Stegostoma tigrinum: one gene and its partners. The protein of the gene in region 3 interacts with the protein of the main gene of each other region in a pairwise test. Links are inferred from orthologs where the notes say so. Each region holds a gene or a part of one and is shown on either strand. Other genes may lie near its edges. The genes, in order: E3 ubiquitin-protein ligase TRIM63-like, flncb and myoz1a.

Region 1 (10,760 bases), on a different chromosome or scaffold from region 3:
GTGAAAATCAGCGTATACATTCACGGCTCAAGAAGAATGCCAAACTTCACAATTCATTTTACTTCGATAATAAAGTGTGAAGCTGGACGAACACAGCAGGCCAAGCAGCATCTCAGGAGCACAAAAGCTGACGTTTCGGGCCTAGACCCCTCATCAGAGAGGGGGATGGGGTGAGGGTTCTAGAATAAATAGGGAGAGAGGGGGAGGCGGACCGAAGACGGAGGGAAAAGAGGATAGGTGGAGAGGAGAGTATAGGTGGGGAGGTAGGGAGGGGATAGGTCAGTCCAGGGAAGACGGACAGGTCAAGGAGGTGGGATGAGGTTAGTAGGTAGGAAATGGAGGTGCGGCTTGGGGTGGGAGGAAGGGATGGGTGAGAGGAAGAACAGGTTAGGGAGGCAGAGACAGGCTGGGCTGGTTTTGGGATGCAGTGGGGGGAGGGGACGAACTGGGCAGATTTTGGGATGCGGTGGGGGAAGGGGAGATTTTGATGCTGGTGAAGTCCACATTGATACCATTGGGCTGCAGGGTTCCCAAGCAGAATATGGGTTGCTGTTCATGCAACCTTCTGGTGGCATCATTGTGGCACTGCAGGAGGCCCATGATGGACATGGGGAGGGGGAGTTGAAATGGTTCGCGACTGGGAGGTGCAATTGTTTATTGTGAACCGAACGGAGGTGTTCTGCAAAGCGGTCCCCAAGCCTCTGCTTGGTTTCCCCAATGTAGAGGAAGCCACACCAGGTACAACGGATACAGTATACATCTGCTTAATATGGAAATTCATCTTGGGGCCTGGGATAGGGGTGAGGGAGGAGGTGTGGGGGCAAGTGTAGCACTTCCTGCGGTTGCGGGGAAGGTGCCGGGTGTGGTGGGGTTGGAGGCAGTGTGGAGCGAACAAGGGAGTCACAGAGAGAGTGGTGTCTCCGGAAAGCAGACAAGGGTGGGGATGGAAAAATGTCTTGGGTGGTGGGGTTGGATTGTAGATGGCAGAAGTGTCGGAGGATGATGCGTTGTATCCAGAGGTTGGTGGGGTGGTGTGTGAGAACGAGGGGGATCCTCTGGGGGCGGTTGTGGCGGGGGCGGGGTGTGAGGGATGTGTTGTGGGAAATGCGGGAGACGCGGTCAAGGGCATTCTCAACCACTGTGGGGGGATAGGTGCGGTCTTTGAAGAACTTGGACATCTGGGATGTGTGGGAGTGGAATGCCTCATCGTGGGAGCAGATGCGGCGGAGGCGGAGGAATTGGGAATAGGGGATGGAATTTTTGCAGGAGGGTGGGTGGGAGGAGGTGTATTCTAGGTAGCTGTGGGAGTCGGTGGGCTTGAAATGGACATCAGTTACAAGCTGGTTGCCTGAGATGGAGACTGAGAGGTCCAGGAAGGTGAGGGATGTGTTGGAGATGGCCCAGGTGAACTTGAGGTTGGGGTGGAAGGTGTATTTTACTTCTCTGAGTTTAAAATTAAAAGATTAATCTCAACTAACCGCCATTCATGTACGATGCACAACCAGACACAAAAGAGGAGCAGTTGACCATTCAGTCCCTAGAGCCCGCTCTGCCATTCCAGATTAGTGGAGAAATTTTTAATGTGACTTACACTGTTCCAGAAAAAGCCATTCAAAGATTAGTTCATTCAGAGTTGTTCTCAGTGAGAATATATTTTTTAAAAATCCTTAACTGCAATTTTCCTTCAACAACACATTTCAAACCTGGAATCCCTTTCACCTGGAAGTTCAAAGGCAGCAGACAGTGGAACAGCAACAGTTACACTGACTACCCTGATTGTTTCTTCATTTTGCTGATTCACAATCTTGGAAAGTCTTTGCAGGACTGCAGCTCACTGCATCATCTCAAGGATAATTAGGGATAGGCAACAAATGTTGTACTCACCAGGAGCAATCTCCTCCTAAGAATGAATAAATTTTTAAACATTAAAAGAGCAGCGGAAAAAAAGAAATCTTTCTTTCCTGCTGCACTTAAAAGTCTGGTTGTCATGTGGTGCGATGTTTGAGTGTGTTATCGTTCACTCAAGGAGTGAATCGCAGTGGCAACTGCATTTTTACGTGTAAAACTAGTATTAATGTGAGTTGGTGGCAAACCCTTCACAGATTACAGTCATATAGTACACATGGTTGTGGTTATTAGAGGTTCAGTCATTTCAGCTCCAGGACAAATCTTCAGGAGCTCCTCAGGATTGAGTTCTGACCCCAACCACCTTCAGCTGCTTCATCAATTACCTACCCAGCATCGTGGAATCAGAGTGGGGATGTTCGCTGATGATTGCATAATGTTCAGCACCATTCGCGAATCCTCAGATACTGAAGCAGTCCATTTTCAAATCCAAAAAGATCTGGACAACAAGTGATAAGTAACTTTCAGTCTGCACAAATGCCAGGCAATGACCATCTCCAATATGAGATAATCTAACCACCGTTTCTTGATATTCAATGGTGTTACCATTACTGAATCCCTTACTATCAAGATCCTGGGGGTTATCACTGAACAGAAATTCAGCTGAAATCACCACAAAACCACAGTGGCTCCAAGCGGAGGTCAGAGGTTATGAATACTGTGATTAATAAGTCGCTTCCTGGCTCCCAAAGCCTGCCCACATCTACAAAGCACAGGTCAGATGTGTGATGGAATACTCCACAGTTGCCTGGAAGGGTGTGGCTCCAACAACATTCAAGTAGCCTGACACCATTTAGGACAAAGCAATCCATTTGATTAGCCCCATATCTACAGGCATTGACTCCCACTACCGCAGATGCTCAGTAAAACAGTGGGTACCATCTACAAGGTGCACAGCAGAAATTCACCAAACATCCTTAGGTAGCACCTTCCAAACCCACAACCACTTTTATCTAGAAGGACTAGACAGCAGATACAAGCTCCCTTCAAAGCCACTCATGATACTGACTTGGAAACATATTGCCGTTCCTTCACTGCATTCCCTGAATTCCCTCCAAAATGGAAATGTGGGTCAATCCAGAGCAGGTGGACTACAGTTGTTCAAGAAGGCAGCTCACTACCACCTTCTCAAGAGTAACTAGGGATGGGCAATAAATGCTGTCCAGCCAGCGACACCCACATCCCACAAATGAATAAGAAAAATTATTGCCATTCCCTAATTTCCCTTGAGAAGGTGGTTCTGCAGTGAACCACTGCAGACCGTGTGAAGTAGGTAGAACCCACAATACCCTTAAAAAGGGAATTCCAGGGCTTTGATCTAGGATAGTGACTGGCTTAGAAAGGAATTTGCAAGTGATGGTGTAGAATGTGGCAGCGTTGGGGATTGAGGAGATGAGTTACTCACTGCAGTATACCTAACCTCTAACTTGTTGTTGTAGCCACAGTGTTTAAGCGGTGAGTCCAGCAGTGTTTTTGGTCAATGATAAGCCCCAGGATGCTGACAGTGGGGATACAATGATGGTAACACCATTGAATGTCAAGGGGTTGGTTGTTAGATTGGTGATGATCATAGCCTGGCACTTATGTGGCATGAATCATTCTTGAACATGATCTGCTACAATATCTGTGGAGTAGCAATTGTACTGAACATCGTTCAATCGCTAGTGAACATTCTTATGATGGAGGGGAGGTTGTTGACCAAGCAGCTGAAGATGGTTGGGCCTAGGATTTTGCCCTGAGAAACTCCTGCCGAGATGTCCTGGAGCTGAGATACCCTCCAAAAATCAGAACGATCTTCCCATGTGACAGTGTGAATCCATTGATTCCAGTTTTGCTAAGGCTCCTTGATGCTACATTGCAGCTTTGATGTCAAGGCTGTCACTCTCACTTTACCTCTGGAATCCAGCTCTTTTGTGCATGTTTGAACTGAGGTTGTAATGAGATCAGGAGCTGAGTGGCCCTGGTGGAGCCCAAACTGAGTGTTCGTGAGCAGGTTATTGGCGAGCAGGTGATGCTGAATAGCATTGTTGATGACAGCTTCCATCACTTTACTAGTAATGGAGACTAGAATGATGGGGTGGTATTTGGCTGGGTTGGATTTGTCTGGCTTTTTGTGTACAGGATATATGTGGGCAATTTTCCACATTGTTGAGTGGATACCAGTTTTGTAACTATAATGGGATGGCTTGGTGAGGGGAGCAGCAAGTTCTGTAGCATAAATCCTCAGTATTACTGCCAGAATTTGTCAGGTCCCATACATTTGTAGTATCCAGTGTCTCTATTCCTTTCTTGATATCATGTGGAGTGAACTGAATTGACTGAAGACTGGTATCTATAATGCTGGGGAACCACTGGAGGAGGCCAAAATGAATCATCCATTCATTACTTCTGGCTGAAGATTGCTGTGGATGCTTCAGCCTTATCTCTTGCAATGATGTGTCAGGCTTCTTCCTTCACTGAGAATGGGGATACTTGTAGAGTGTCCTCCTCCTGTGAGTTGTTTAATTGTTCACCACCATAAATGCTGGCCAGCCAGCAATGCCCATGTCCCATAAGTAAATAAATTTTAAAATGTGTGTTGCAGTCAGAATTGTAGGTTGTGATGGCATAGCGTCCGATATTCGTTCTATCACATGGCTGATCAGGAATATCTCCTTTCCTTAAACGCCATCACTGGCTCATGTTGGAAGGATTTTGTCAATTGATCTCAGCATATTTGGCCATTATGAATATACCTTTCTTGGCCATTAAAACCTGCAGTGGGATTGACACCCAGTCATTCTGGTCCAGTGGCTGAGATTGTGATGGTACCACGAGATGTCCTGGTGAGATTTGTAAACAAGGACAATCGAGTTACTTGTAATTGAGAGTTGGGGTTGTAGGGGGTTGTCTCCAGTGGTGTGGGTGGAAACCTGTTTGGACAGTTTCCGTGGTTATTAACATTGAGGAAAATCAGAATGTTATTCTAGTTATGCTCATGACTCACATGTCCAATTTTTAAGCCGTTAGATTGGCTTGAACACTTTTCAGGCAGCTGGGCAAATATGTGGAGGAAACTCCAGGACTTATATCTGCTGGTTTTTACAAACTTCATTCTTGGGGTGTCAATGTCGTTGGCTCTTAATAGATATTTTAAATTCAACAGCTGAAGAATCTTTGCAATTGATAAGTGGAAAGGATTTGTATTTTCTTTAATATCAGCCACATCTAAAATATTTCTGGACTCACCAAGCAAACCCAGCTAGGCCTATTCTTCATTTCACTCCTGGCTGCTGGATGCTTCATTCTACTCTTCCACCATCACATCCCCTGCTCTGAGAGTATCCCTATCCCCAAAAGACTGCACTTCTTCACAATCTCCTTTCCTGCTTTCAGAAGTATCCAGATAACCAAGCCCTACATTAACTTTCTAATGCCTTCCTCCCTCATTGTCAATGTTCACGATTGTCTACAAATCCTGTCAAAGCGCTTTCAAAATTCCCTTGATGCACAGTGAAAACAAAATTGTTTTTGTTGGGCATTTTGGACAGGATGTTTTCTACTCACCTTGATCGATTGGCAGTTATATAAAATGTTTAGCAACTTTATTTTTATTTATTCTTTCTGTGTAAGTTGTTTTTCTGAGTGTCACATGTGACTGCATCTCCGGGTCCTGCTTGTTCTCAGTTTCACGTTGCAAGTTTCTAATATGGGAAAAGTTATGTTGAGGACTAGGTTCCCCCACCCCCCACCTCAGCTATCATGTGACACTGGAAATCTTTATAAAAAGGACGAGCTGTCATGCACAGACAGAAAAGGAACAAGGAGTAATCTTATCACGACGCCTGAGCTCCACTGAATCTCTTCTGAAGAGGATACTAACACGGAATTTGTCTGAAAGCAACGAGAGTGACAGGGAGAAGAAAAAGGCAACGCAACTCAGCAGGTTTTTAAGTGGTGTTTGCTATATTTGGAGATGGAGTTCCAGCCGAATATTATCCGAGAATCCAGCACGATGGAGACACTGGAGAAGCAACTCATCTGCCCGATTTGTCTTGAAATGTTTGAAAAGCCGGTTGTGATCCTGCCATGCCAACACAATCTGTGCAGAAAATGTGCCAATGATGTATTCCAGGTTAGTGCTTTTAAGCTGTGTCCATTCAAAACTCGGCAAACTGGGGTTTCTTATCAGTGTTCCAAACTTTCAAAGACAGTAACATTTGGAAATGGGTAACTCCTTTCCAACTTTCTGTGGAGAGCTCTGACCACTTGCTGGGTTGCAGTAAGGCACAGATATTGACTTCAATCCTCTGTCCTAATATCTCAGTTGGTGGCTTGGTGTCAAGTATTGTTTAATATGACCCCTGTGAAATGCCCTGGGATGTTTGCACCATGCCACGAGTGCTATACAAATAGAACTTGGAGTTTTGCTGTCCCTCCTGTGTCCCCATACCTCACTTGCACCTGCACTAACTCCAATGGGAGCCATGGTTTAATTTCTCCCCATTTCCTCAGACCAAGGCCATTGAAGCCAATTGCAGCAACTCAACTGAAGTCTGAGATCAGCTAGTTGAACATAAACTTAAAAGTGAACCTGGACCGTGCACAGTCTGCACTATTGGCAGTTAAGAAAGACAGATTAGAAAGCTAGGATGTAAGGCAGAATTTGAATTCATTAACACTGCTCACAATGTCAGGTTGTCCCAAAGCATCTTATGATCAATGAAGTATATTTTTCAAGTAAAGTTACTGTTATAATATAGGAATGATCTTCAAGACTTAGGGAGACCTCTTTAATATAAAATTTAACAAACCTTTAGGTGAGTAAGTATTTCTGAAAATCTTTTAAAGCAGAAACTTTAAAAAGTGTGATATCTTTTGACATTATTTTTAAAAATGATGAGTAGGTATAATGTTGCATCCAGTTTTGGTACAGTGCTAACCTGTGAGCTTGTGCTAAACATTTTCTAGATACATATATGTATGTGCTTTTTTTAGGCTGCTAATCCATATTGGCAGGGTCGAGGTACCATGATTTCTGGAGGTAGGTTCAGGTGCCCATCCTGTCGACATGAAGTTATCCTGGACCGTCATGGGGTATATGGACTGCAGAGGAACCTACTGGTGGAGAACATCATTGATATCTACAAGGAAGAGGGAATCAGGTTAGCTTGGGGAACCATTTCATCTTCTGCATCAAGCTTGTTGTTCGGGTCAGAGGTACAGGTGGGTGATGGGAAGAGAAGATGGAAATACGTTTGCCAGGCTGGGAAAGTGATTATTATGATACGTCTTATGCATTGCTTGCAATGATGCCTCCTGGAGGTATTTGCTGAGATATCATGTGAACACATCAAGAACCCAAATCTTGTATTTTTCAGTTGAAGTGGGAATAAGTTCAGGGACAGTTGGACTGAGTTACAAAGATGCTAGCTCAGTTTGTTATATATTGTGTGTACTTCTACAGTTCTGTTACAAGTTCATATGTTTCCTTCTTTAATGGAAACTGCCCACGTGAACAACTCACAGTGAAGATTATGAAGGCCTTTGATGGAGCAGATATAGAGATGTTTCCACCTGTAAGGGAATCCAGAACCAAGGGTGTTACAAAATTAAGACATAGCTAATCAAACTGATATAGAATTGAGGAGCAGTTTCTTAACTCAGTGAAACTTGCTTCCATATGAAGTGGTTGAAGGAGATTATTGTAGATGGTTTTAAAGGGAAGCTAGATAAATACATCATGGAGAAAAACAAATAAAAGGATCTGTTGACATGGCAAGAAAGTAGGTTGGAGAAGGCAGTTGGGAGAAGGCCCACAATGAGTGTAAATGCCAGCAAAGATCTTATGTTCTGAATTGAAAAATCCTATGTAATAACATCCTTCAATTTATGTTAATATTACAATGCCTTCACTGGTAGGAGGGTGTAATTACAGTGTAACTAGTTTTAATAAGCACCAATTTTTAATAAACATTGTAAATGTGACCAGAGGAAGATAAAAAGTTCAAAGTATGTGGAGCAACTGTAAGATTTTTGATGTGAAATAGATGCTGATTTCACAAACCAGAAGGCCTTTAAAGTTTTCTGAATTTTATCATACTTTTCAGTGTAGATTAGGATAAAACAACTTTGCAGCTAATATAAAACATCACCTGCAATTTGAATTATTTTGAGTCTGCAAAGGTTGCGCTACATTAATTAGTCTATGGAGCAACAAGTGGTGTCCCTTCAAAAGCAATGATTTGTGTTTCAATCACTGTGGGGAATGACTGAGGGTTGGATAAGATGTGAAATAAAGGAAAATTACTTTTCCATTTCAGATTCTATTGGTAGAAAAGAAGGAATCGATTGACCATAGGGTACATATTTTAGATGAAAATCAGATGAAACAACATCTGAAGAACTTTTTTTTCACTCCCCATGTTAAGTTACAGTGACTTCCCACCGCATTCATATTCTCAAGGTCATCTGGGCAAGGTTTCAACTGGTAACGATGACACAAATGTTCTTTAGTCCAGCTGTTTCTAAATGTTTAAAAATAGTCGGTCAGTAACTACCCAGCTTTGCTGAGCTGTGCCTTTAAAAAACACTTGGCCATGAATGAAATTAGTTACATAAAAATGTCATAATACGTTGATATAAAACAGTATTTTTTAGAACGTCTAATAGTAAGAGATTTAATTTTATGAACAATGATCATCTCTGAAATGCAGCTCCAGCAAGAATAAATAATTTTAAAGAACTATGACCGTTTAAGTACCATTCAGTGATTGGCTTTCATCACCAGTGATAGGGAAGAGCTGGCACAATGAGGATAGGATTTTCATCTCAGTAGCTTGAACCCCAGAAGGACAAGGGCAGCAGCCACATGGGAATTCCATTGCCTGCAAGTTCCCTTCTGAATCCACTTCATTCTGACTTAGGCAAATATCACCATTCCTTCATCAGTGAATCAAAATTATGGAACAATACTGTGAGAGCACTTTCTTCACAGGCCATAGTTGTTAAAGATGAGGAACCACCATGACCCTTTTAAGGCCAAACAGAAGATGGACAATAAATGACAATCAAGCCAGCAATGTCAACTGGTTGCGAATGAATTTTTAAAACTCTCCCAGCCTTACATCCAAACCTACTGCTGCCCTCTAATTTGGGTTCACTGTTTAATGCACCTTCTCCACCACATCCAGACTCCCCTCCATGTTACATCTTGTACGTCTCACTTGGTGCAGATGCTTACTTCTTAATCCTGCTGTCTTTAAGCTTCCTTTTTACCCCACAGCCACTCAGCACATCCACCCATACCTTCCACTCCCTCCTCAAAATCATATACCTCCAATCATGTTATAGCTCACTCTCTTGTATTAGTTGTGTCAAAAGCCTCATGCATTTGCTGGGTGCAGGATGCACAGGTACTTAATGGCATTTGGGGTGGTGTCGGTTTATATCACTAAAACAAAAACAGGCACAATCACTCAATAGGAATTGAAGACAACTAGCCCTGAGTATTGGAAATCTGAAATCCAAACAGCAACATCTGGAAAAGCACAAACAGTTCATCAGCATCTGAAAGAAACAGGATATGTTTTGGTGCAATTACCTGGCTTTTCATTTTTGTTCTATGCGCACAGATCTACTGTGTGTCTTTAGAGATTTCCGTTAAGATACATTTAAGGGAAAGGTGGATAAGGTGAAGGGAGAAGACAGGGATAGCTTGAAATGAATAGGGGTGAGGAAAAGCTCACATGGAAAATAAACACCACCAGAGGCCAGAATGGGCAAACAACCTGTTTCTGTGCTGCAAACTCCATGTAATTCACATCGTTCCTCTAATATTTCCTTATGATTGACAACATACTGATGAACGTATATCTGCTCCTTTGACATACAGCCGACCCTTAAAGAAAGGCAATCAGCCCATGTGTGAAGAGCACGAAGATGAAAAGATCAACATTTACTGCATCTCTTGCCAAGTTCCCACCTGCTCAATGTGCAAGGTCTTTGGTGCCCACAAGGACTGTGAGGTGGCTCCCCTGCAGAATGTATTTCAACAGCAAAAGGTGAGGAATGGTTCAGGAAGCGAAAGGAAGGACAGGCATGGGTCAAATCATTTAAAATCAATAAAGCTGACAAGTCATATTAACTGTGATAATGGGAACTGCAGATGCTGGAGAATCCAAGATAACAAAGCGTGAAGCTGGATGAACACAGCAGGCCAAGCAGCATCTCAGGAGCACAAAAGCTGACGTTTCGGGCCTAGACCCTTCATCAGAGAGGAGGATGGGGTGAGGGTTCTGGAATAAATAGGGACAGAGCGGGAGGCGGACCGAAGATGGAGAGAAAAGAAGATAGGTGGAGAGGAGAGTATAGGTGGGGAGGTAGGGAGGGGATAGGTCAGTCCAGGGAGACGGACAGGTCAAGGAGGTGGGATGAGGTTAGTAGGTAGGAAATGGAGGTGTGGCTTGGGGTGGGAGGAAGGGATGGGTGAGAGGAAGAACAGGTCAGGGAGGCAGAGACAGGCTGGGCTGGTTTTGGGATGCAGTGGGGGGAGTGGAAGAGCTGGGCTAGTCATATTAACTACTCCTTTAAAATGTACAATCAAAGCACTGGGGTTCATTTTAATGAGGATTGGAATTCAATGCAGAGAAATTATCTTAAACTTGCTTAGAGCTTTGGTTCGACCACATGCATAGCTCTGGCCATGAAATAGTGGGATAAAATGATATAAAAGCATGCATCTGATAAGCCAAGTGACTGCATTCCATGTCATAATGAATCCATAACCTGACAGGAAAGAGAAGGGAATTGAGGAAATGTAGCTGAGGAATGGAAAACAATAAGACAGGAAATTTGTACGTAGCGTTTGGCTCAAA
Region 2 (11,526 bases), on a different chromosome or scaffold from region 3:
TCACTGGACTGTTAATCCAGAGACCCAGATAATGTTGTGGGGACCTGAGTTTGAATCCCACTGTAGCAGACAATAGAATTTGAATTCAATGAATATCTGGAATTAAAGGAACTGATGATGACTGTGAATCCGTTGTCAATTGTTGGAAAGAACCCCAGCTGGTTCACTAAATGTCCTTTAGGGAAGGAAGCTGCCATTCTTACTTCGTTTGGCCTACATGTGATCCAGACCCATAGCAATGTGATTGACTCTGAATTGCCCTCTGGACAATTAGGGATGGGCAGTAAATGCTGCCTAGCCAGTGACACCCTCATCCCATAAATAAATAAAAGGAAAACAAAAGGATTAGGCCCACTGGTCTTGGACTCCCACATGGGAGAACAACCTTGCCATATCTACACAAGTCTTAATAAAAGGTCTCATCTCATTCTAAGCCCCAGGGAGTATAGATTCCATTTACTCAACTTATAAGAAAATCCCTTCATACCTGGAATCAACTTAGACAACCTTCTCTGAACCATCCAATGTCAGTATATCTTAATTTAGATTTAAAAGGGTAGCAAAATTATTTATAAGGCAGCTTCATATCAACAGTAGATACACTGTCAGGCTCTCAACCGTAGCTATGCTAAGGGAACTCAGTCATTCGGCATCACGTGGGATTAAAGCTCCTCAGTTCCTGTGTTGGGACCTCCTCTCTCTGCTACTTCAGAGTGGGAAGGTTTGCAAGAGACTTAATCTCTCTCACAAAAGGATGCCTGTTGGAATCATAGAATTATTAAATTCTGACAATGTGGAGGCAGGCCATTCGGCTCATTGAGTCCACATTGACCCTCTAAACAGCATCCTACCCAGATCCACCCCACCACTGTATCCCTGTAACCTGACATTTCCTATGGCTAACCCACCTAAACCGCACATCCCTGGACACTGGGCAATTTAGCATGGCCAATCTACCTAACCTGCACTTCTTTGGGCTGAGGGAAGAATTCCATGCAGACAGACACAGGGAGAAAGTGCAAACTCCACAGTCATCAGAAGGTGGAATTGAGCTCTGTTCCCTCTCGCTGGTGAAGCAGCAGTGCAAACCACTGAGCTACTGTGCTGCCATTTTGAGGGTGGGGGCAGGGGGTGTATTGTTTGAAAGAGGGGCGTGAGGTAGTAGGGGTTTCCTGGGGAAAAACATTTTTCTCTCCCCAATGTAGTTGGCATATAGGAGAGATAAGTTATCTGCAAATAAAAAAACAACAGAAACTCTAATGTACTAGTGCAGATTCAGCCTGGTAGTTATCAAAGTTTCCCACTCTATACTCAAACTGCTGCAGTGAACCAGTCACACCCTGGGGAGATTTGGGTATTTGACAGCACAGCATGGTTTGGATCCAGCAGTCAGACAAATGAGCACTGGGACAGGAAGGGAGCAGTGCGACATCGCGAGCTGTCAGACTCCAAGGTTATCACTGACACATTCCAGCCAGCTGCACGGGTAGCTGTATATAGCTCCTGAGCTCAGTTCATGGAGGAGGGGGATGGATAGCAGCTTGGGACCAGCGTGACTTTGCAAACGTGTGGGGAATATTCTGGAAGGGTAAAGCACAGAACCACTGTTGGGTAACCAATCACCTCAGGGTCAGGATAGCCTGGATGCTACTAGGCAGAATGATTCTCAGACTCAAATTTTTTGTTTTTGGGGGGGGGGGGGGGGGGGGGGCAGGCAGAAACTGAGACCCAATTCATTCATCATGTTGGATCAATTTTATTTTAAGACAGAGGTTGATACATTTTACTGGATTGATGGAACAGACTCAGAGCTGAAAGGCCCATTGCCATTCAGGGACACCAAGGCAATTTGAGACACCCAAGGTTAAAATGAGCCACTCGATTCAACCAGAGGCTTAAGCATCGGTCCCTCTCCTTTTGTGGTCATAACTCTCACTTTGTAAATTAAGAAGTTGCGAGTTCAAGTCTGACTTCAGGGACTTGGCAATGTACAAAATAAATACAAGATTCATCCATCTATCAAGGCAGCTGGATTTAGACATTCATGTTCACTGAACACTTTTCTCAAAGTGTCCTGTGGGTATACAGCAAAACTTGAACTGTAGCTTTCTGATAGAGCTTGATCTGCCTGGCAATTTCCACCTTGTCTACAATGAAGTTACTGACTTTGTCCAACAATCTAGTGCACTGACTAAATTAAAACACTGCCTGCTTAATTCTGAGCTCTCACAGCAAGCAGCAAGAAACAGTCCCCCCCACTACCATTCTGACATTTTCACTGTTACAAATTAAACTGACAAGCAGGCAGGCAGCCATGTTCACTGCTGCACAAACTTACTTTTGTACAGCACATTTAACATAAGACACTTTACAAGAGAAGTTACTACAAAAATCAACAGGGAACTGAGTGTGGAAATATTCAGCCCACATGACCAAAAGTCTGAAGCAGTAACTTAAGAGATAGGGCTAAAATTCCAGCAACCAGGGTTTGTATAGTTCAAGGCATATTCCCCAATGGTTATAGGATTAAAATAGTACAAAGATTTCTGATGGCTTGCAGGAGACCATGGATTGAAATCAAGGGTGAGAACTTTGGTGGGATGAGTGGCCAGTGGAGATCAGCAAGCACAGGGATTTTTGTTTTTGAGTCGGGGGGGGGGGGGGGGGGGGGGCATGTAGTGGCAGCAGCAAGAGTGAGTTAGGACACAGGCAGAGTTTCAGACAAGCTGCAGTGTATGGCAAGCGGAAGGAAGGAAGGCTGGCCCAGTGATCATGGAAATACTTTGATTCTAGAGGTAACACTGCCATGAATGAGGGTTCCAGCAGCAGATGAGCCAAGGTAGAGACTGGCAAACTGACAAGGGGTGGAAGTGGGCACCTTAGTGATTAAGGGGATGTGGAAATCTGACATTTCACTCAGTCAACTGTTCTTAGCTCTGCTGTCCTAATCTGTTTCAGCCACCAATCAATGCCAGAAATTAGGAACTTCTTCCTCCCCCCCCCCCCAACTAACAGAAGCTCCTGTGATCACAGAGGCTGTGCCAATTTCTACAAATCTCTACTTCTGCACCTGTTAAAATTAACAACTGCAGGACACTCACACCCTGTCACTCATACACTTAAACCAATGATCTCAGATGATAGTATTGTACTGAGCTGTACTGGTCCTTCAACTGAAATGTTAGCCAGGGGCCCATGGTTCAGCTTGGGTGCACAAAACCCAATGAGTGAAGGTTAAGAAATTCTTCCAGTGTCATGGTTAACATTTTTCCCTCTACCAATGTCACAAATACTGAAAGACTTGCATTTCTAATCACTGTCCTCACATCTTCAGTGCAGCCCAACTCACTTCATATTAATTAATTCCTTCTGCTGTATAGTCCCATTTATTCAGAAATACTGCAGGAATTTACACAGCAAGATTCCATAGACAGCAGTAACCAGACTCTGCCTTATTTATAAATATTAGTCAGGCTATGCTCTTCTTCCCATACATAGCAGCATATGAGCTTTTACATCCATCCAAGTGCATAGACAGGGTCTGATCTGAAAGACAGCACCCACACCAGGGCAGGGCAGCATACAGCACACTCCCAAGTGGGTCAGTTTGGAGTTTGGGCTCAGGCCTCTGCAGTCAGACTCAGACACACTTTCTGACTCAGTGTTGAAGAGAATCATCTCATTGCCATTTGTGGGAATCTTGCTGCGGGTTTAATAGCTGTTCCCTTCACCTATAAGTCACTGCCAAGAATTAGTTGCAGCTCCAGCACCGCTGGGCCATATTGAGATATGTGACAAGGTTCTGTATAAAATAGAAAAGTTAGACTTCAAGTCAGCGTAATATTCACAGAATCGTAGCGCCGACGGCTATTTGGTCCATCGTGACTGTACGAGCTTTTACAAAAAACTACCCACATAAATCACACTTTGTTGGTGTTTCCTTGTGAGGCACCTAACTTTCCCACACAAACCATTCGCTTTCCTGCGGAACCTTAAAATAATTGAATTTGCTTCCACAAGCCTCAGTGACCGAGAAATAACAACCCGCTCTCCAACAAGCTCGCCGTCACTTCGGGAGAAGTTCAGCATTAACCATGCCGCCGCTCCTTCCAGAGGCTGGCGAGCGCGGCTTACTGACGCTCTTGGCAAAAAAAAACATGTGAATTTTAAACGTCTTTACAATAATATATTTTATTGTCGGAAGAAAAAAGGAAAACTAGCCCATGGGTTTAAAACTCAATAGCGGTGGATCTCAGTGAGGAGCCGAGCCAGAGGCGGGGAAAGAGGGGACTGGGACTGGAATTACACCCCCCCCCCCCCCGCCTCACCCGGGACTGCCCTTCCCGGGGGGAAGAAGCAGGGAACGGGAGAAAAGGCGGGGGGCGGGGGAAGGAAGGGGGAGAAAAGGCGGGAGGGGGAATAAAGGGGAAAAGGGAGGGGGAATAAAGGGGAAAAGGGAGGGGGAATAAAGGGGAAAAGGGAGGGGGAATAAAGGGGAAAAGGGAGGGGGAATAAAGGGGAAAAGGGAGGGGGAATAAAGGGGAAAAGGGAGGGGGAATAAAGGGGAAAAGGGAGGGGGAATAAAGGGGAAAAGGGAGGGGGAAGGAGTTGTTCTTACCGATGGAGACCAGTTTAATCCTCTCTCTTTCCAGGAACTCCAGCGCCACAGACACATTCTCCAGCTTCATCTGGCGAAAGTTGGGCCGCGAGTGGTACTTCCTGTACATCTTCTTCTGGCTGAGCACCTCCAACAATCCGATCAACTTCAGGCCATCGCTCAGGTCCTTCTGCAGGTCCCCGATCCTCTTGTTCACACACTTGAGGTGCTCGTTACACCAGCGGGTGAACGTGTTCTGCTGGATCTTCTTCCAAGGAGCGTCCTCCGCCAGGTCTTTCTCAGTAGCCGGCATCTCCCCGTCCTCCTGGCCATTGGCCGCCGCCTCTTGCTGCTCCATCGTCCGCCTCCGGGAAACTTCTTCTCCGGACTCTACAGAGTGGGTCTCGCCGCGGTAACTCCCCCCTCCTGCTCACTCCCGGTTCCGGTCCTCTCTCTTTCTCACTTCCACCCTCTCCGCCCGGCTACCAGCCGCCGAATGGCCGCGCTGGTGGCCCCGCCGCACTTTTTAATGAGTGACGGCTGCTCCGGGCCCACGTCAGAGAGCAGGCTCGCCAGGAATCCCGAGGCCATGGCCGTATAAAAACTCCAGAGCCAGGTCATGCTGCTCGTCATAGCCGCTGACTGCAGCCTTCCGTTAGCACCTCAAAGCATCGAGGATAGCAATGGGTTAACCCAGCCTCCTCTCTCCACTCAATGGGTTAATAACAGCCTGAGTTGAACCCCACTCTGGGTGCATTCTCCATTCAATGGGTTAACTCTAGAGCTCAGTTTAACTCCACCCAGGGTCTGACCTGTCTCCTCTCGCCACCATTCAATGAGCTAACTGGAGCAAATCATGTTGAACCAACTTGCTGGCTTCCCCCACTTTCCACCCCCATCCCTCCGAAAGGGATAACACCGAGAGGTAATGCTGTTGGTGTCAATAACATGGACTTCCAAAAGGCATTTGATACCGTGCTGCATGGAGAGACTTGTGAGCAAAGTTAGACCTCCGATTTAAAAGGCACAGTAGCAAGTGGATAGGAAGTTGGCCGAGTGACAGAATACAGAGAGTAGTGGCTAATGGAATAAAAAATCAGAAAATACTGGAAGAACTCAGCAGGTCTGGCAGCGTCCACGGAGAAAGCAGTTCACATTTTGAATCCATTGACTTAGAACTCAGCGGAGTCAAAACATTCACTCCGCTTTTCCCTCCACAGAGTCTGGGAGATCTGCTGAGCTTCTCTAGTACTTTCTGTTTTTATTTCAGATATCCAGCATCTGCAATACTTCAAATTTAGTGTTTGATGAAGTTTTTTCTGAGAAGGGTTTATAGTGGGTCAGTGTTGAGAGCCTTGTTTTACCTGATCTATATTCATTATGTGGTTCAGAACAGAATTTTGAAACTTGTGGCTGATAGATTCGCTCCAAGTTTTCTAAATTGTGAGGAGGACAATGTGAAACTGCAAAGAATGTAGATAAGTTGGTGATGTGAGCAGATATGTAGCAGCTGAAATTCAATGTGGAGAAGAGTGAGGAGATTCATTTTGGAAGAATGCAAAATATAAGGGTACTACTCCAAAGGGGATGCAAGAATGGAAGGAATTAGGGGTATAAGTAATCAAAAGTGGCAGACCACGTTGAGATCAATTAACAAGGCATACAGTATCCTAGGCTTGAGTAGTGCTGGTGTAGAGTCCAACAGCAAGGTTATCTTAAACCTGCATTAAACACTGTCTCAGCCCCAACTTGAGTACTGTTCAATTCCATTTTAGGTACCCCACTTTAGAAAATTTGTGAAGGCTTTAATAAGAGTGCAAAAATATGCTTATGATTGGTTCCACAGATGAGGAACTTCAGCTACATAGGTATGCTGGAGAAATTGGGAACTGTTCACCTTGAAGCTTGAGATGAAACTCGATTGAAGTATTCAAAATCCTGAGGGGTCTACGTGGAGTTAACCAGGTAGGAAAAGGTGTTTCTACTGGTTGAACAATCAAGACTGAAAGATATAATTTAAGGTAATTGGCAAAATAATCAAAGGAAACATGGGGAGAAGATGTGGAATGCAGCAAGTGGTTAAGATCTGGCATGCGCTGCCTGAGAACGTGGTGGATTGATGCACTCAATAGTATGTTGGGTTTTTACTTGAAAAGAGAACTTGTGCAGGGTTATCACAAAAATGCAGGAAATGGCACTAGGTGCATTGTTCAGAGAGTCAGGACAGGCATGTCACTCCTGTCATGTTACAATTCTGTGAACTCACCAGTCTGGGTTAACCTGCATCCTTCCCAGTGTAAGCAATGACAGGGTGGGGGGGGGGGGGCGGTGTGGTGGGGGAATCCCTGTCGGTGTATTCAATGTGCCAACTGTCTAGAGGTTGGGTAAATACCCTCTCCTTTCCCAACTGCATTCACTGCATTAATACATTTTTGTCTTTCACATCAGCCACTGTGCACCCCCCAATTCCATTTGTACCCCTATCCTCCCACTCCTAAAAACGACTGGATTCCAGAAACAGAAAGTGAGTAGGAGTTACCGGAGAGCAGTCCCAGCCTTACTGAGCTCAGCTGCTATTTCTGAATATCCTAGGGTCAGTGTTAGAATGACAGAAGTTCATTTTTATACATTTATTCCTGCCCCTTCCCAGGAATAGCTGTACACATGTTCTCATTGATCGAATATAGCATGAGGCATCATTGCCAGGGGCCAGGCATCATCACTCAGCAATGTAGCAACTCACTATTGAAAGCTTCAGGGACGCTGCATGAAAGTAATTAAATCTGTTTTTCTCCATATCTTAAAGGTGCCTCACTGGTCAGTCAGCCTCTGAATTAGTTGTGTGAGCTGTGTGTGACATTCCTCATAGACCAATGTTGAGATATCCAGTCATCGCCTTTGCCCCTCTGGCTCCCGATCAGTGCCTAAACCACATATCCAGTGACAGACCCAATTAAATGCTACATTTCCAAGCCAGCTAATTCTTTTTACTTAGACTAATATCCAAATGAGGCTCTGATCTCTCATTCTCACTCATACTGCTTTCTTTTTCTCCCCTGCGTTGGACTTTCAGAGTGAAAATGTTGTTGGTGGCAGGCTGACTCCCCTGATATTGTTGGGGTAAATTTCCTGACATCAGGGTGAAATACCTTGATATTATCTGTGTGATTGTCTTGTCATCACTCATGTGCATTAGAGGGTGAATTTCAAATTCATTTCTTATTACTATAAAGGATAGGGCTAATGAGTGGCTTAATTGTTTTTCGTCACGATTTGTCAAAAAAAAACACGAATATTTTGAAAATGTATCACTTTGAAATATATATTTAATAGTAAACCATTGATAAGCAAAATACATTCCACCGATTACAGCCCCAGCAATAAATGAACAAAGAATATTATTTGACAACATGGGAAGTATCGCAGGCAGACATTGCTGAGGACCCAGGATTGCCCAGTACATCATTTCACCATTTCTGGGTGGGGAAGAGGGAGGGGTTTAAGGAGACAAGGATGCCCAGGAATCCCATTTTGAGAAATTAGAAGTGGTTTGGGAAGGAGGAGTGCTGGACTCCCCAGAAACCATCTCTAGGGTTGGTCACGACTTGCTGAGACCCTCATCTCAGGAGTGAAGGTACATTTGTGGGGATGTGGTAACAAGTCTCCCCCATGTTGGGGGCAGGACAGGGGTCAGATTTCCCCCAGACCCCATCCCTAGTGGAGCCCAGGACTCTTCGTGGCCTCATCTTTTTTGAGGTGCTTGACTGCCAGGAAATTTTTCTCACAAATGCAGCGTACAAATTTTTATTTGTAATTGAAAGCATGGTCTCAGTGAAGCAACAAAGGAGAGACTACAGAACTCAACTGGCCAAGAGAGGCAAAAACATGGTATAAAGCCCATACCAGAGTTCAAACCAGAGGAAAAGGAAAACACAGATTTGAAAGGAAGGCAATTCAGTGCTGGGCCACCACTCAGTCTCCTTGTTTCTCTTTCACTCCAATCTACACTCAGAGCAGTTAGCAGTATGCCAATGTTTGAGTGACAAGGACAGCATTAACTATACACACTGGTACAATACAGAGTCTCATTTTACAATATTTTACAAAAAATGATATTTCTTACTTGATGATCAATGAAATTATTTGCAAGAATATTCACAGAGCATTTTTACTGACAAATAGACAGTAGCTGGGTGAGTCAGTCATCAGACAGCAAAGAATGATTATGGTCTCTCTGTTTTCTCCTTCAGATCTACAACTCTCCGTGTGCTCTCCCTTTCTCTAAATCTGGTCTCACACACAGCCCCCGTTTCCATCAGTCTACCAATGGTGACTGTGCCTTCAGTCTCAGACCAAGGCTTTGGAATTCTCTCCCTAAACCTCTGCATCTCTCCACTTCCCTGTCCTTAATACACTCTTTGAAAGTTAGCTTTTAGTCATCTTCCTAAATTGTTCTTCATGTGACTCATTCTCAAGTATTTGTCTGCTAAGCCTGCTGCAAAGTACCTTTAGATATTTAACTGTGTCCAAGGCAATATAAGTTCAAACTGTTGTTGTCCGCATAGAATTTGGGGTTAACTCTCTATCTTCACATTTCAAGCTTTCTTTAAGTTTAGGTTTCTGAAAACAAAACAGAACTCCTAATGAACAAAACAGGCTATTTAATAGGATTGGGTATCTCTTCTCTGTTTCATTGGGAATCAAAAAGCTTAGACTTTCAAACCACACAGTGTTAGGGAAATTCACAGCATAGAACAAGACCACTTAGCTCAATGCATCTGAGTTAGCTCATTAAAACAATCCCAGACATATTCCAATATATGCTCTCTCCCTGTAGTTCTATGTCAATCCCAAACTTTACCACATGTTCTCCCCATAGCCCCATATCCATCCAAACTATCCTGTTACCTGTCTCCCTGTAACCATACCTCAAACTCCCTGCCTTACACTCTCAGGTAGGCCTGACTCTATCCCAAACTCCCTGTCACATGCTCTCACCATAGCCCCATATCCATCCCAAAATAGTACCACTGATCTACACTCTGCCCCAGAGCCTTCTATCAGTCCCAATCTAATGTCACTACCTCCTATAGTTCTGTATCAATTCCAACTAATTCCACTCCACTTTCTTCCCATAGACCTGTATCAGTCACAAACTAATTCGATTGACCCGCTCTTTCCCTATAACACTGGAAAAACTAATCTGAATGCTGCATTCACTTCCCAAAACTCGATATGAAACCCAAGTAAAAACCTCCAAGCCCACTTACTTTCTCCAGCTCAAAATTAGTCCCAAACCGATCTCTTTCTCTCTCTATGACCTGTATCAATCCCAAATTAATCCCACAACTCAATTCTCACCTAAAATCTGTAACAATCCCAATATAGTTCCATTACCTACTCATTCCTCGTAGCCTCCTATCAATTCCAAGCTAATCTAACTGCCACAGTATTTCATTATCGCTCTTCATCTAAAACAGCCCCTGCCCTTCTTACATTATCAATTGTAAACCACCCCAACTGCCCCTTTCTGTCCCTGTATCCCTGTACAAATCCAACTAATTCCAATGCTGCATCTTCTCCCCATTGCTCTGTATAAGTCGCAAACAAATCCAACTGCACCACTCTCTCAATAAAAACCAAAAGAACTGCGGAGGCTGTAAATCAGGGACAAAAACAAAGTTGCTGGAAAAGCTCAGCAGGTAAGGCAGCATCTGTGGAGGAGAAAACAGGGTTAACGTTTCAGGTCAGAACTGAGGAAGGGTCACCAGACCCGAAACGCTAACTCTGTTTTCTTCTCCATAGATGCTGCCAGACCTGCTGAGCTTTTCCAGCAACTTTGTTTTTGCACCACTCTCTCCATTGACTTTGGTAGCAATCCCAATACATCCCACTGCATCATTTTCTCCTCCAAGCCCTATCTCAGTTTCAAACTATTCTCTTTACCTGCTCTGTCCCAGACTCCTACATCTATCCTGAACTAAACCCCTTGCCTCACCCTGGTGCATCTGATGTCCAGGGATTATTTTGAGTGTGATCCACAAAACACGAGTGTGCAGGAGCTGATGAAAATTTAATCAGAGAAGGGACACACCAAGATGGAATATCAGCTCACTTCCCCCCCAGATGCTGAGGTAATGGATACTTTCAGAGCTTATGTGATTGGAGAGTCACTGAGAGATTTATCAAGCTACTTCTTGCATTTGGAAACAGGGATGGGTGCTCTTGACGGATGTGAAGATCATGGCATTCAACCTTGGGAAGAGACACAAGATTAATTGTAGCATTGCCAAGCACTCACTACAGACACCACACGTGCTTTGTTCTGCCATCTAAAATTCCCCGATTGGGCAGGTTCTTAGTCACAAGGTAGTGGCAGATTTAATGGCATTAATTCCTGTAACTGGGTCTGCCCACCCGAGCGTAAAGTAGCAGCAGAGGCAGGTAATGGATCAAGGAACTGTCTCCCCGTACGTTAGCACACTCAAAGCATTTCTGCACATTCTCCCCCACATACACCAGTAAAATCCTGGCTAAAGGTGACATTTGGACTAGTGAAAGGGGCAGCTGTCTATTTCTGCCATTGTTCCAAAGCTAGCTTCAATGTAGGAGCCTCTCAGTAACACTTGACAAACTATCCTCATACTCTGACACAGTTATGATACTGGATTAATTGGGATTGCACAGCTCACAGCCACTGTCAAGAAAAATCACAGGCAGAAACATCAGAGTTAGGAAGGAAATACTGAGTGTGTAGGAAATCATATTGGTGCCCTCTTTCAATTCGCCATGCGTAATTAAAGGCAAGGAAGCAGAATTGTGCAATAAAGGAACTTTCTCCTGGGTGCTGTATGCCAGAGTGTTCTGGTAATGGATGGAGATGATGTTTGCAGGAACGCAATGATCTTGTATGGGCAACAACGTTGAAG
Region 3 (10,970 bases):
CACAGTGCCAATTTCTTCTGCCATTGTGAACCTTATCACCTAAACAAACCTTATGAACTGCAGACAATATTACAGGGACTGGTAATACAACTTATACAACTGATTAGTGGTATTATCGCTGGACTGTTAATCCAGAGACCCAGTTAACGTTCTGGGGACCCAGGTTCAAATCCCACTATGGCAGATGGTGGAATTTGAATTCAATAAATATATGAAATTAAGGGTCTAATGAAGACTATGAATCTATTGTCAATTGTTAGAAAAACCCATCTGGTTCACTAATGTCCTTTAGGGAAGGAAACTGCCGTCCTTACCTGGTCTGGCTGAAATGTGACTCCTGACCCACAGCAATGTGATTGACTCTTAACTGCCCCCTGGGCAATTAGAGATGGGCAATAAATGCTGCCTAGTAAGTGGTGCCCTCATTCCGTGAATGAATAAAAAAATCCCACTAATCACCAAACTCAGGTCCCTCACTCCTGCTATCTATTCCTCGTAGACTACAACTGTAACAACTAAGTATTTCTTTCCAGACACTACACACTCAGTCTGAAAACTTTGTTCCTAAGCAGCCAAGCCTATGTCATTTGTTGAGTTGTGACATTGTCTCTGGAGCTTAGATTCAGCTCCACGTTTGCTCTGACTGACTCCACTCCTCAGGTATTAATTCTGCTGTTGCTGTTCACTCCCAGGTTCTCTCTCCTTCGCTGTGTTGCTGTCACTGATCTAAAGTTTGTGTCCTCTTCACAGGTTGCATTCCCACCTCAATTTGCATCATCGGTAAACTTAAACGCCTTAATATAATAAACGCAAAATATTGCAGATGCTGGAATCTGAAAGAAGAACAGAAAGTGCTGGAGAAACTCAGCACATCTGGCGGCATGCTGGATGGAGGACTGAGAGGGAGGACTCAAATAGATGAGTTGGAATAATTTGAAAGGGTAGTTTGGTTATAACACTTTGATGCCTTCTTCTGCAAAAGAAAAGCTGTTTTTACAAAACTGGACAGAAATATGAATAAATTATTTAAAAGTTCTTCGATGTCACAAGTAAGGTACCAAAATGCTTAATTCTAATATATTGTGTAGACAGTTGATTTAATTGCAGACTTCAACACACTGTCTAATACATTACTGCGGAAACAAGCACTATGATAATGTCTATTATCACTACATTTCTCATCTCCACAGTCATCTTTGAGAAATCTACAATTTATTCCTTTAATTCCCATTGCATATCTATTTCTACTTTCAAAACTTCAACTGATCTTTTGAGCTTACAATCACACTTGCACAAAGTCGTCACTGTGAAGAAGTTTCTTAAGTCTACTTTTGATTGTTTTGGGCTTGATTGGGATGCTGAGGTTCCAGGCTACTTAATTTGATGTGAGACTATGATCAGAGAAGGGAATGGAATCAGTACCAACAGTATTCCAGCAGGGAGGCGATGGTCTAGTGGTACTTTCAATGGACCGTTAATCTAGAGGTCCAAATAATGTTCTGGGTACACAGGTTCAAATCCTGCCATGGCAAATGGTGGAATTTGAATTCAATCAAACATCTGGAATTAAGGGTCTAATGATGATCATGAATCCATTGTTGATTGTTGGTAAAACCCATCTGGTTCACTAATTCAGAAGGAAGCTGCCATCCTTACCTGATCTGGCCTACATGTGACTCCAAACCCACAGCAATGTGGTTGACTCTAAACTGCCCTCTGGGCAATTAGGAATGGGCAATAAATGCAGCCTGGTCAGCAATGCCCTCACCCCATGAATAAATAAAGTATAAAGCACTTGCCAAAAGTAATGGTTTTGGTCTCAGCTGGCATAATTGGATAAAACTGAGCCCATCAAAACTACGAGATAACAAAGTATGGAGTTGGATGAACACAGCAGGCCAAGCAGTATCTTAGGAGCACTAAGATACTGCTTGGCCTGCTGTATTCATCCAGCTCTACACTTTGTTATCTCCCATCAAGACTATGTTGGACAAGCAACCTGATAAATAATAGTACTGGATGTTCAAGAAAGCTGATAGAGAGGTAGAACTTTTGAAAGTGAGCCATGGCTCCTGAAATCATTATCAAGTTACAGCATTGGATGAAGCAGTATCATAAGGAAAGAATGAATATTGATGAGCTTCAAAGTTAACGATGCAGGATCAGAACAGAAACATTATTGTAGATGTTTTGGCAACAGTATACAATTAATAGGATTACCATATACTGCTAGTTCCACAGAAATTGACAGAAGTGGAGAGTAGAGGTTTTAGTTGAAATATCAAAGAAATAGAGATATCAAGGAGCAAAAAAACAGAAGTTTCTGAAAAAGTTCAGTAGGTATAGCAACACTTGTGAAGGAAAATGTTTTGGTCCAGTGACCTTTGCTCAGAGCTCCCCAGTTCTGAGGATCACTGGACCCAAAATGTTAACTCTGATTTTTCTTCATCAATAATGCTAGATTTGCTGAGCTTTTCCAAAAACTTCTGTTTTCGTTCCTGGTTCACAGCATCCACAGTTCTTTTGTTTTTTATTGAGATATCGAGGAAGTTGAGGGATAAAGTACTATAAAGTACTAGCCAATGTCATCCATGTCTTAGTTTGGTTGTCTCACTACTGTGAGAGTAATAGAATTTGAGAAATACAAACAGGGAATTGCACAAAAATCCCACAGATTTCAGACAGAAATGTATATTTAAAGACTTTGATAAGCAAATGGAAGTTGGAGCTTAGATAGTCGTTTTCAGGAAGACAGGAATTGCAAAAATATTTTGTGAGCTAAAAGGCGATAACATTTTGGAAATGGACTGAACCCATTACTAGAACATCTAGCATGGGGAACTGAGTAGTCAGCAGTTTATTGGGAATAGGATCAAGAGAACAGAAGATGAATCTCATGATGATGTGAGATAAAATGGGAATATTGGGGAAATGGAAAAGACTCTGGGGAGAAGAGAGGGAAACAGAGATTGTGACGAAGGCCCAGGAGTGAGAGAAATAATTCTGAAGCAAGATTCGGTTTGGTGAAGAGGGAGAAAAGGGAGAAAGCAGTAGAGGCGACTGAGTAGTTGGTATTTATCTTGGTGAAAATAAAGTCCAAGAAGTTCACATGCTTCTAGTTTGAGCTGAGATCTAAATGGCTAAGGTCAGGGGGTTTGTTGACAAGGAGAGAAACAGGAGTTTCTTTCCTCTCTCCCAGATAATCCAGTTGGAGCGATCAATTTTGGCAGAGGAACGTGTGGCTCAATATGACTTATGTGGTGAAGCCTGATCTGGAAATGAAGGGCTAAGTTGATTGTGTATGAGATACATTGGATTCTGTGCTCCTTGGACTTAAGGGAATAAAGGTGACAGGCAAGCCATGGACAGTGACTGGTATGAGAAATGGTAAATGTTTTCGGAGGAGGAGGTGAGGTGATGAGCTGCTATGCTCATGGTGCTGATGTAATTGGTGATGTGATGTAGCCATTGCAATGCAGTTCAGGATGAAAAGGAAACATTTGAATTTGTGGCTTCTGAAACTGAATTACTGAAGTAGCACACGTGTGTCAATTATATATAAATTGCTAGTAAATCTGTGGAAAGGAATTTGTATGTTGACCTGAAGTGACCAATATTGGATATGAAATGGGTTGTAATGCATACCATCGAATCTGTGTTAAAGACATCAGGATTTGATTCATAGATGAACCTTTCGACCCTGCGTTGCCTCTCTTTAAACATCAGGGATCCTTTATTCTTCAATAGTGACAGTTCCTCCAACATCACATCCCTTGGGATGCTGATTTTCTTCCCAAGGTTAATCTCGGTTCCGGCTTTGACAGAGAATGGTAAACACAACAAACATGAAAGATGTTAAGGCTTGGGACAGGAGAGTGGAACACACATTTGGCCTTGTGCCTTTTTGGGACTTTAGTCTGAAATATATCGATGGAGCTATAAAAGTGCTGCAAATGGCGAGACGCTGCTAACCTGTGGTCAATAAATCAATCACACACCATCTTCAGCTGTTACTACTGTCAGCAGCTTCTCCGAATTAAAGTGCACTCCTGTCATCTGAGAAGGCATACCTGGTTCTCCACAAATGTTGTAAAATTACAAGCTACTGAGAAAATGTGCAGAAATAAATCAATCAAACAGCATCTCTAACTTTTTTAATTAGCAGGTTAAAGAACTGAATAGCATGACAGAGTATTTTATAATTGGGTGTGTTGACTCATAGCCAAAAGGGTTGTCTTAAATAGAAAAGACAGGCTGAACAACACGGGTAAAATATGGGGCTTGTTGTCAAGTAGTTTGGGATTTTGAAAACCTTAAACCCAAGGAAATAGCACTCAGCAATTCTAATATTTTCCGAAGGAGTCCCCGTTTCTCACTTGAATTTGTTACAAAGTAGTTACAAATAAATATATACTGCAGACGAAATGACAATGTAATCTAGTAAGTGCTTTCAGTTATCTGGAAGGGGCCAGTGTTTTTTTTTAGGGAAAGCTACATTTGTCGCCTTGAGTGTGATGTTATAAATGCAGGACCTTACCATCCTTCAATGTTTTTGGAATTATTCTGGTTGTCCTTTTCTTCTTGGTTGGGGCAGGAGTTCCAGCTAGTGGCATCGTGGCTGGGGTCAGTCCTTTCTTCTTGCTGAACAATGAGTTAGGAAAAAAAAGCACACATCGATAGTGACATTGTACCAAAGAAATGGATCAGGACGTTCATTCATTAGTAATTCTGGAAAAGACAATCAAACGCTTGTCACTGGAAATAGTTAGGTTCAATGAGCTTAAATGCACAATATCTATTGCTTTAAGGTGGAGTTACAATGCAACAGTAAATGCCCTGTTAGCTCTTGATTCTGATCTCATATTGTACAGCATGCACAAACCTCACAAATATTTCAAACCAGCCTGTGAAAGAAGGTGGGAAAAATATTCATACATGCTTCATTCTTCTCATTTGCAATAGCGTGATCATTCCACAACTCTAATAATGTTCTGCTGGAACAAGCATCCCTGACAGTTTCCCTGATGCTTGAAAACTATATAAAACTGAATCAGAGCTTCAGAGAGCTTGATTCAGTGAGCTTAAATGATAAAAACAACCACAAACTTGTTTGATGTGTTACCACTGATAATGCAGCTGTTTACAATAACTTACCGTTAAATTTTCAACTGAGTCCTACTGGAATATCTGGTTGCTGGTTGCAGTTTCAGGTCAGAATTTTCTAAATCAAAATGAGCTAAGATGAAGTTTTGCGAAGAAAGGACGGAGCAGGACTTGTGTCTGCACAGCACCAAGTGCTGATGCAAAGTGCAGTGAATTTGATTCCAAATGCAATGTGCATCATTGAGATAAATATAGTATTGAAACAGGGAGCTCAGATAGCAGTGAGACAAGATAAAACCATGTGTGTAAGCAATCTTCAAACTTAAGGTTCTAACCAACTGCTCTGAGGGAAACGGAAACAAGCTGTGAAATTGAATAAAGACAAACTATCAATCGCAGGTAATCTCAACACACCAGTCACCTTCAGGGATTCTGAGATTTGTCAGATCTTCTACTTAATTTACAGGAGAAAATCTGGTGGTTTGTGTTTGTTGGCATGGGTCATTAAAGCCAGCAAGGTTTACAGGTTTGATCCCTATCCAGGTTTTATTTTGTTTGTTTCCAGCATGTGGGCCTCACTGGGTGGGCCAGCATCTATTACCCATCCTTTGAGCTACTTTCTTGAACCGCTGCAGTGCATGTGATGTAGGTAGACTCATGGTCCTATTAGAGTGGGAGTTCCAGGATTTTAACCTAGAAATGGTGATAGATTTCCAAGTTGGGATGGTGTGTGACTTGGAGGGGAAGTTGCAGGTAGTGATTTCCAGTATCTGCTCCCCTTGTCATCCCCTTGTAGTAGAGGTTGTGGATTTAGAAGATGCTGTTAGAGGAGCCGTGGTGAGCAACTGCAAAGCTTCTTGTAGATAGTATAGACTGCTGTTCTTGTACATAAGTGGTGAAGGGAGAAAACATTAGGGTGGTGCGTGTAGTGCCAGTCAAGCAGCTGCCTTATCCAACATGCTGTCGAGCTTCTTGTGTGTTGTTGGAGCTGGACTCATCCAGACAAATGAGGAGTATTCCATCACACTCCTGACTTGTGCTTTGTAGATGGTCCATAGCAGACTCAGGAGGTAATTCACTTGCTACCAATTTCCTAGCCTCTGACCTGGTCTTGTAGCCACAGCATTTCCACAACTAGTCCAGGTTTGTTTCTGGTCCATGGTAACCCTCATGATGTTGGTATGAGGGGATTCAGCAATAGAAATGCCATTGAACATGAAGAGTGGTGAGTATACTATTGTAATTAGCCTAAATGCCTTCAGTTGAGGGAAGTGTGAATTGAACATAGTTTTTATTGACTGGTGTTCAATGGATGGTTTGAATGGGGATTGAGGTGGCACCTGGCTGTCCTGTAAGAACAGTAACAATTTGCTGAACTCACTGTTGAGTTTCAAAATGTTATGAATGGATGAGGTAAAAGGTGAGTACAGTTACTTAACAAATTGCAGGGGTGTTTTTGCATTCCCATGCTACCATATGTGAGAATCAGGGTTTAATCATAGAATCATCATAGAATCCCTGTGGTGTGGAAACAGGCCTTTCGGCCTAACCAGTCTACATGACCCCTCCGAAGATCATCTCACCCAGACCCATTCCCCTACCCTTGCATTTCCCATGTCTAACCCACCTAACCTAAACATCCCTGGCCACTATGGGCAATGTGGCATGGCCAATCCACCTACCCTGCACATCTATTGACAATTTCTAATATTTCTGATCATTTGCCCTGCCGAACATAAAGTCACGGGATTGTCCAACATTTAAACCTATCATTTGCACTTCTTCAAGTCTGCAAGATTTCTTTCAAAAACTTCACTTTCATGGTCTTTCATTAAGAAACTGTGGAGTCAAATTTATCCTAGAGGGAAACTGCCGCAATGATTTCTGTTCTCATACCACACCATTACCTATAGAATCCCTGTGATTTTTATCCTTGTCCCGCCTTGTATCAATTTCTCTTCAACCATGTCATTGAAAGATAATGACATAAGGCTTCTTGTGTAAAATACTGACACCCAGCTCTCACCAGCACCATATCTCATGACCCTTCTATTGCTTCTATGTTGCTGGAGACCTTGTCTGAAAGGTAGTCATGGATAAGAGTCAATATCATTCAATTTAACATTGAATCCATTCCCCTTCCTGCTTTGTGTCTCAGATTGAGAGGTTTTGTCCACAACCTATGCATGTTCATTAGGATCCTGAGCTAAACTTGGATTCTATTATTCTCTCCATCACAAAGACTGACTATTTTCACCTTCACAACATTGCCTATTGCTGCCTTTGTCTGAGCTCACATGATGCTGAATCCCTGATCTATGCTGTTGGCACATCAGAACCTTAATATTCCAATGCATTCCTGATCTGATTTTCAACCAGCCTAAAATTCAGCTTTCCCAAAGCCCTGCTCCCCATATTCTAATTACTACAAAGTCTCAATCAACCATTATCTTTATGCCTACTGATTTATATTGACTATTCATCAGTCAATGCCTTGATTTTTAAAAATCTAATCCTTGTTTTGAAATCCCTCCTTGTTCTTTCCTTCTTCATCACTGTAATATTCTACATCCCTAAAATCCTCTGAGATCCCTGTGCTTCTCCAAATCTGTTTTTGGCTGATTAGTCAGTGTTAAAATCACATTATTAATGGAATGTTGCTGTTGTTGGAAGCATAAAAGGGATGAGAGTGCATCAGCAGGCCACTTACTTTCGCTGGAAAATGTAATTGAACTAGTTTGTAAAGTTTGGGCTGGATGTGAATCGGATAGATGTAAATGAGGCAGAATTTCATGCTCAATAAACTCCTTTTACTTCTGCAGTGTTCGTAAATTCTCTGTAGCCCCGAATTGCCCTTACTGATACTGATCCAGTGTTTTTTTTAAAGCTGTCAGCTGGTCCCAAACAATTCCCTTTTCTGGCAGTTGACTAGCTTAAAAAATAAAGGCTAATAGCACTGTTAAAATGGCATCTTTGTAAATACACAACCAAAGCAAATATGACCTATTGTCAAATCCTGTGTGGAGAATGAATCAAGTTTCATTGTCTTGATATTTGAAGAAGTAGTGAAATAAGGGCAGTGCGATAAACAAAATATCTCGCAAATCACAACCGAGTGAATGCTGACAATTACTGAAACACCAATGCTGTAACACATCAGTCTTGAATGGAATTGAAGCCTGGACAGTGAGTCTATAATTTGTTTCCAGCATGTCTATGTACAGTGTAACATTTAAATATTGTGATCTTCAAAAAACATAGCAGTTGCATACAGTGTGAGTTGAGCAACAACTAAATAGTTTTTAGATGCTGTGATGCTCCCATCATTATAGAGTAATACAACACAAGAAATCTTTCAACTCATCATGTTCATGTCAGCTCTTTGCAAGAGTCATCCAATTAGTTCAGTTTCCCTGATCTCTCCTGATGAACAGAGGAGCGATCAGACAAGAAAGTGGGGACAAGAAACTGCTCTAGTCTCACTGGATGGCACAGCAAGCTCAAGGTACTGTATGTTCCCATTCCATATGTTCTTATGTAAGTATTTCCCTTAAGTATTTATCCAAACCACTTTTGAAAGTTGTTAGTGCATCTGTTTTCACTATCCATTTCTCCCTTGACCCCTGCTAAGTATTCCTCTGTTGCTAAAATTCAGGGCTGTTGTAAAAGATAATAATGTATATGATAAACATTTGTCCATTCTTATAAACGTTCCAGGAAAAATTAATTGTGCTTCTGTCTGCATCATGTGTCTTTGGATGCAAAATGTCTTCTAAGTTACAATGATATAGTGTATTTTCTTAACTGAATATCAGGAAAATTTTATTTTGAAATGGCTCCCTATTGCTTTCTGTACTCAATAACATACCAAACATATGGAACTATAGATCTGTGAGTCTGACTTTGGTGGTGGGTAAGTTGTTGGAAGTGATTCGGAAAGTTGGAATTTATATGTATTTGGAGAAGCAAAGAATTTCAGGGAGAATGCACATGGTTTTGTGCAAGGGAAATTGTGTCTCACAATCCTGTTTAAGATTTTTGATGAAGTAACCAAGAAGATTGATGAGGGCAGAGTAGTAGACATTGTTTACTTGGACTTTAGTAAAGCCTTTGACAAGGTTCCACATGGTACACAAATTAGTAAAGTTACATCACATGGGATTCAGGGTGAGCTTACCAATTTGATACAAAATTGACTTTATAGCAGGAGACAGATATGATGGTGAAGGGTTGTTTTTTGGACTGGATGCCTGTGGCCAGTTGTATTCCATAGAGGTTGGTGCTGGGTCCACTTTTGTTTGACATTCATATAAGTGTTTTAGATGACAATATAGAAGGCATAGTTAGTGCGTTTGCGAATGACACCAAAATTGGTAGTCTTTTAGACAGAGAAGAAGGTTTTCTAAGATTACAAAGAGATCTTGATCAATTTCAGATGGAGTTTAATTTGGATAAATGTGAGGTATTGCATTTATGTAAAACAAATATGGGGAAAGACTTATACAATTAAAAGTAGGGCCTTTGGTAGTGTGTTAGAAAAGAGGCTCAGTGGTTCAGGTACATAATTCTTTGAAATTTCCATCAAACATAAATTGAGTGGTTAAGAAGGTGTTTAGCACGCTTGTCTTCAATGCTCAGGCCATTGAGGGTAGCAGTTGGGATGTCATGTTGAGGTTGTACAGGACACTGGTGGCCTTTTCCGGAATACCGCTTCCAGTTCTGGTTGTCCAGTTATAGGAAGGATATTTTGAAGCTGAAGTGGGTTCAGAAGAGATTTAGCTGGACATTGCTGGGAATGGAGGATTTGAGTTATAAGGAGAGGCTGGGACTTTTTTCAGTAGAGCATAGGAGTTTGAGGGGTGATCTTATTTAGGTTTATAAAATCATGAAGGACATAGATAAGGTGAGTGGCAGGTGTCTTTTCCCGCCGGAGGGACATTTCAAGACTAGGGAGCATACTTTTAAGGCAAGAGGAGACAGATTTTTAAAAGATATGAGGGGCAGTTTTTTTTACATAGAGAGTGGCTCATGTGTGGAATGAACTTCAGAGGAAGTGGATAGCTGTGGGTACGGTTACAACATTTAAAAGACACTTAGATAAGTACATGAATAAAAAACCAAGCGGAGGCTTGGGGACCGCTTTGCAGAACACCTCAGCTCGGTTCACAATAAACAACTGCACCTCCCAGTCGCGAACCATTTTAACTCCCCCTCCCATTCCTTAGACGACATGTCCATCATGGGCCTCCTGCACTGCCACAATGATGCCACCCGAAGGTTGCAGGAACAGCAATTTATATTCCGCTTGGGAACCCTGCAGCCCAATGGTATCAAGCTTCACAAGCTTCAAAATCTACCCCCTCTCCACCGCATCCCAAAACCAGCCCAGTTCGTCCCCTCCCCCCACTGCATCCCAAAACCAGAATTTCTATCCCCGCCTCCCTAACCTGTTCTTCCTCTCACCTACTTCCCTCCTCCCACCTCAAGCCGCACCTCCATTTCCCACCTACTAACCTCATCCCGCCTCCTTGACCTGTCCGTCCTCCCTGAGCTGACCTATCCCCTCCCCACCTATACTTTCCTCTCCACCTATCTTCTCCTCTATCCATCTTTGGTCCACCTGTCCCTCTCTCCCTATTTATTCCAGAACCCTCTCCCCATCCCTCTCTCTGATGAAGGGTCTAGGCCTGAAACGTCAGCTTTTGTGCTCCTGAGATGCTGCTTGGCCTGCTGTGTTCATCCAGCTCCACACTTTGTTATCATGAATAAGAAATGTTTGGAGGGATATGCACCAAGCGCATAAAGTTATGACTAGTTTAGTTTGGGATAATAGTTGGTGTGGACTGGTTGGACCATAGGGTCTGTTT

What was found.
Region 1: the proteins of myoz1a (region 3) and E3 ubiquitin-protein ligase TRIM63-like interact in a two-hybrid assay, tested with the Homo sapiens proteins (2 studies listed by BioGRID and IntAct). The link is inferred for Stegostoma tigrinum from reciprocal best matches to the Homo sapiens genes MYOZ1 and TRIM63.
Region 2: the proteins of myoz1a (region 3) and flncb interact in a two-hybrid assay, tested with the Homo sapiens proteins (2 studies listed by BioGRID and IntAct). The link is inferred for Stegostoma tigrinum from reciprocal best matches to the Homo sapiens genes MYOZ1 and FLNC.

The regions. Positions count from the first base shown.
Region 1 is NC_081377.1:30,187,537-30,198,296, reverse strand, and holds the start of E3 ubiquitin-protein ligase TRIM63-like, read left to right. Parts: upstream 1-5,710; 5' UTR 5,711-5,860; coding exon 5,861-6,019; intron 6,020-6,882; coding exon 6,883-7,049; intron 7,050-9,778; coding exon 9,779-9,947; intron 9,948-10,760. UniProt on the Homo sapiens protein: E3 ubiquitin ligase. Mediates the ubiquitination and subsequent proteasomal degradation of CKM, GMEB1 and HIBADH.
Region 2 is NC_081378.1:21,509,677-21,521,202, forward strand, and holds the start of flncb (filamin-C), read right to left. Parts: upstream 5,118-11,526; 5' UTR 4,956-5,117; coding exon 4,619-4,955; intron 1-4,618.
Region 3 is NC_081390.1:26,562,849-26,573,818, forward strand, and holds the start of myoz1a (myozenin-1a), read right to left. Parts: upstream 5,321-10,970; 5' UTR 5,155-5,320; intron 4,642-5,154; 5' UTR 4,614-4,641; coding exon 4,538-4,613; intron 3,816-4,537; coding exon 3,646-3,815; intron 1,034-3,645; exon of another isoform or gene 751-1,033; intron 1-750. UniProt on the Homo sapiens protein: Myozenins may serve as intracellular binding proteins involved in linking Z-disk proteins such as alpha-actinin, gamma-filamin, TCAP/telethonin, LDB3/ZASP and localizing calcineurin signaling to the sarcomere.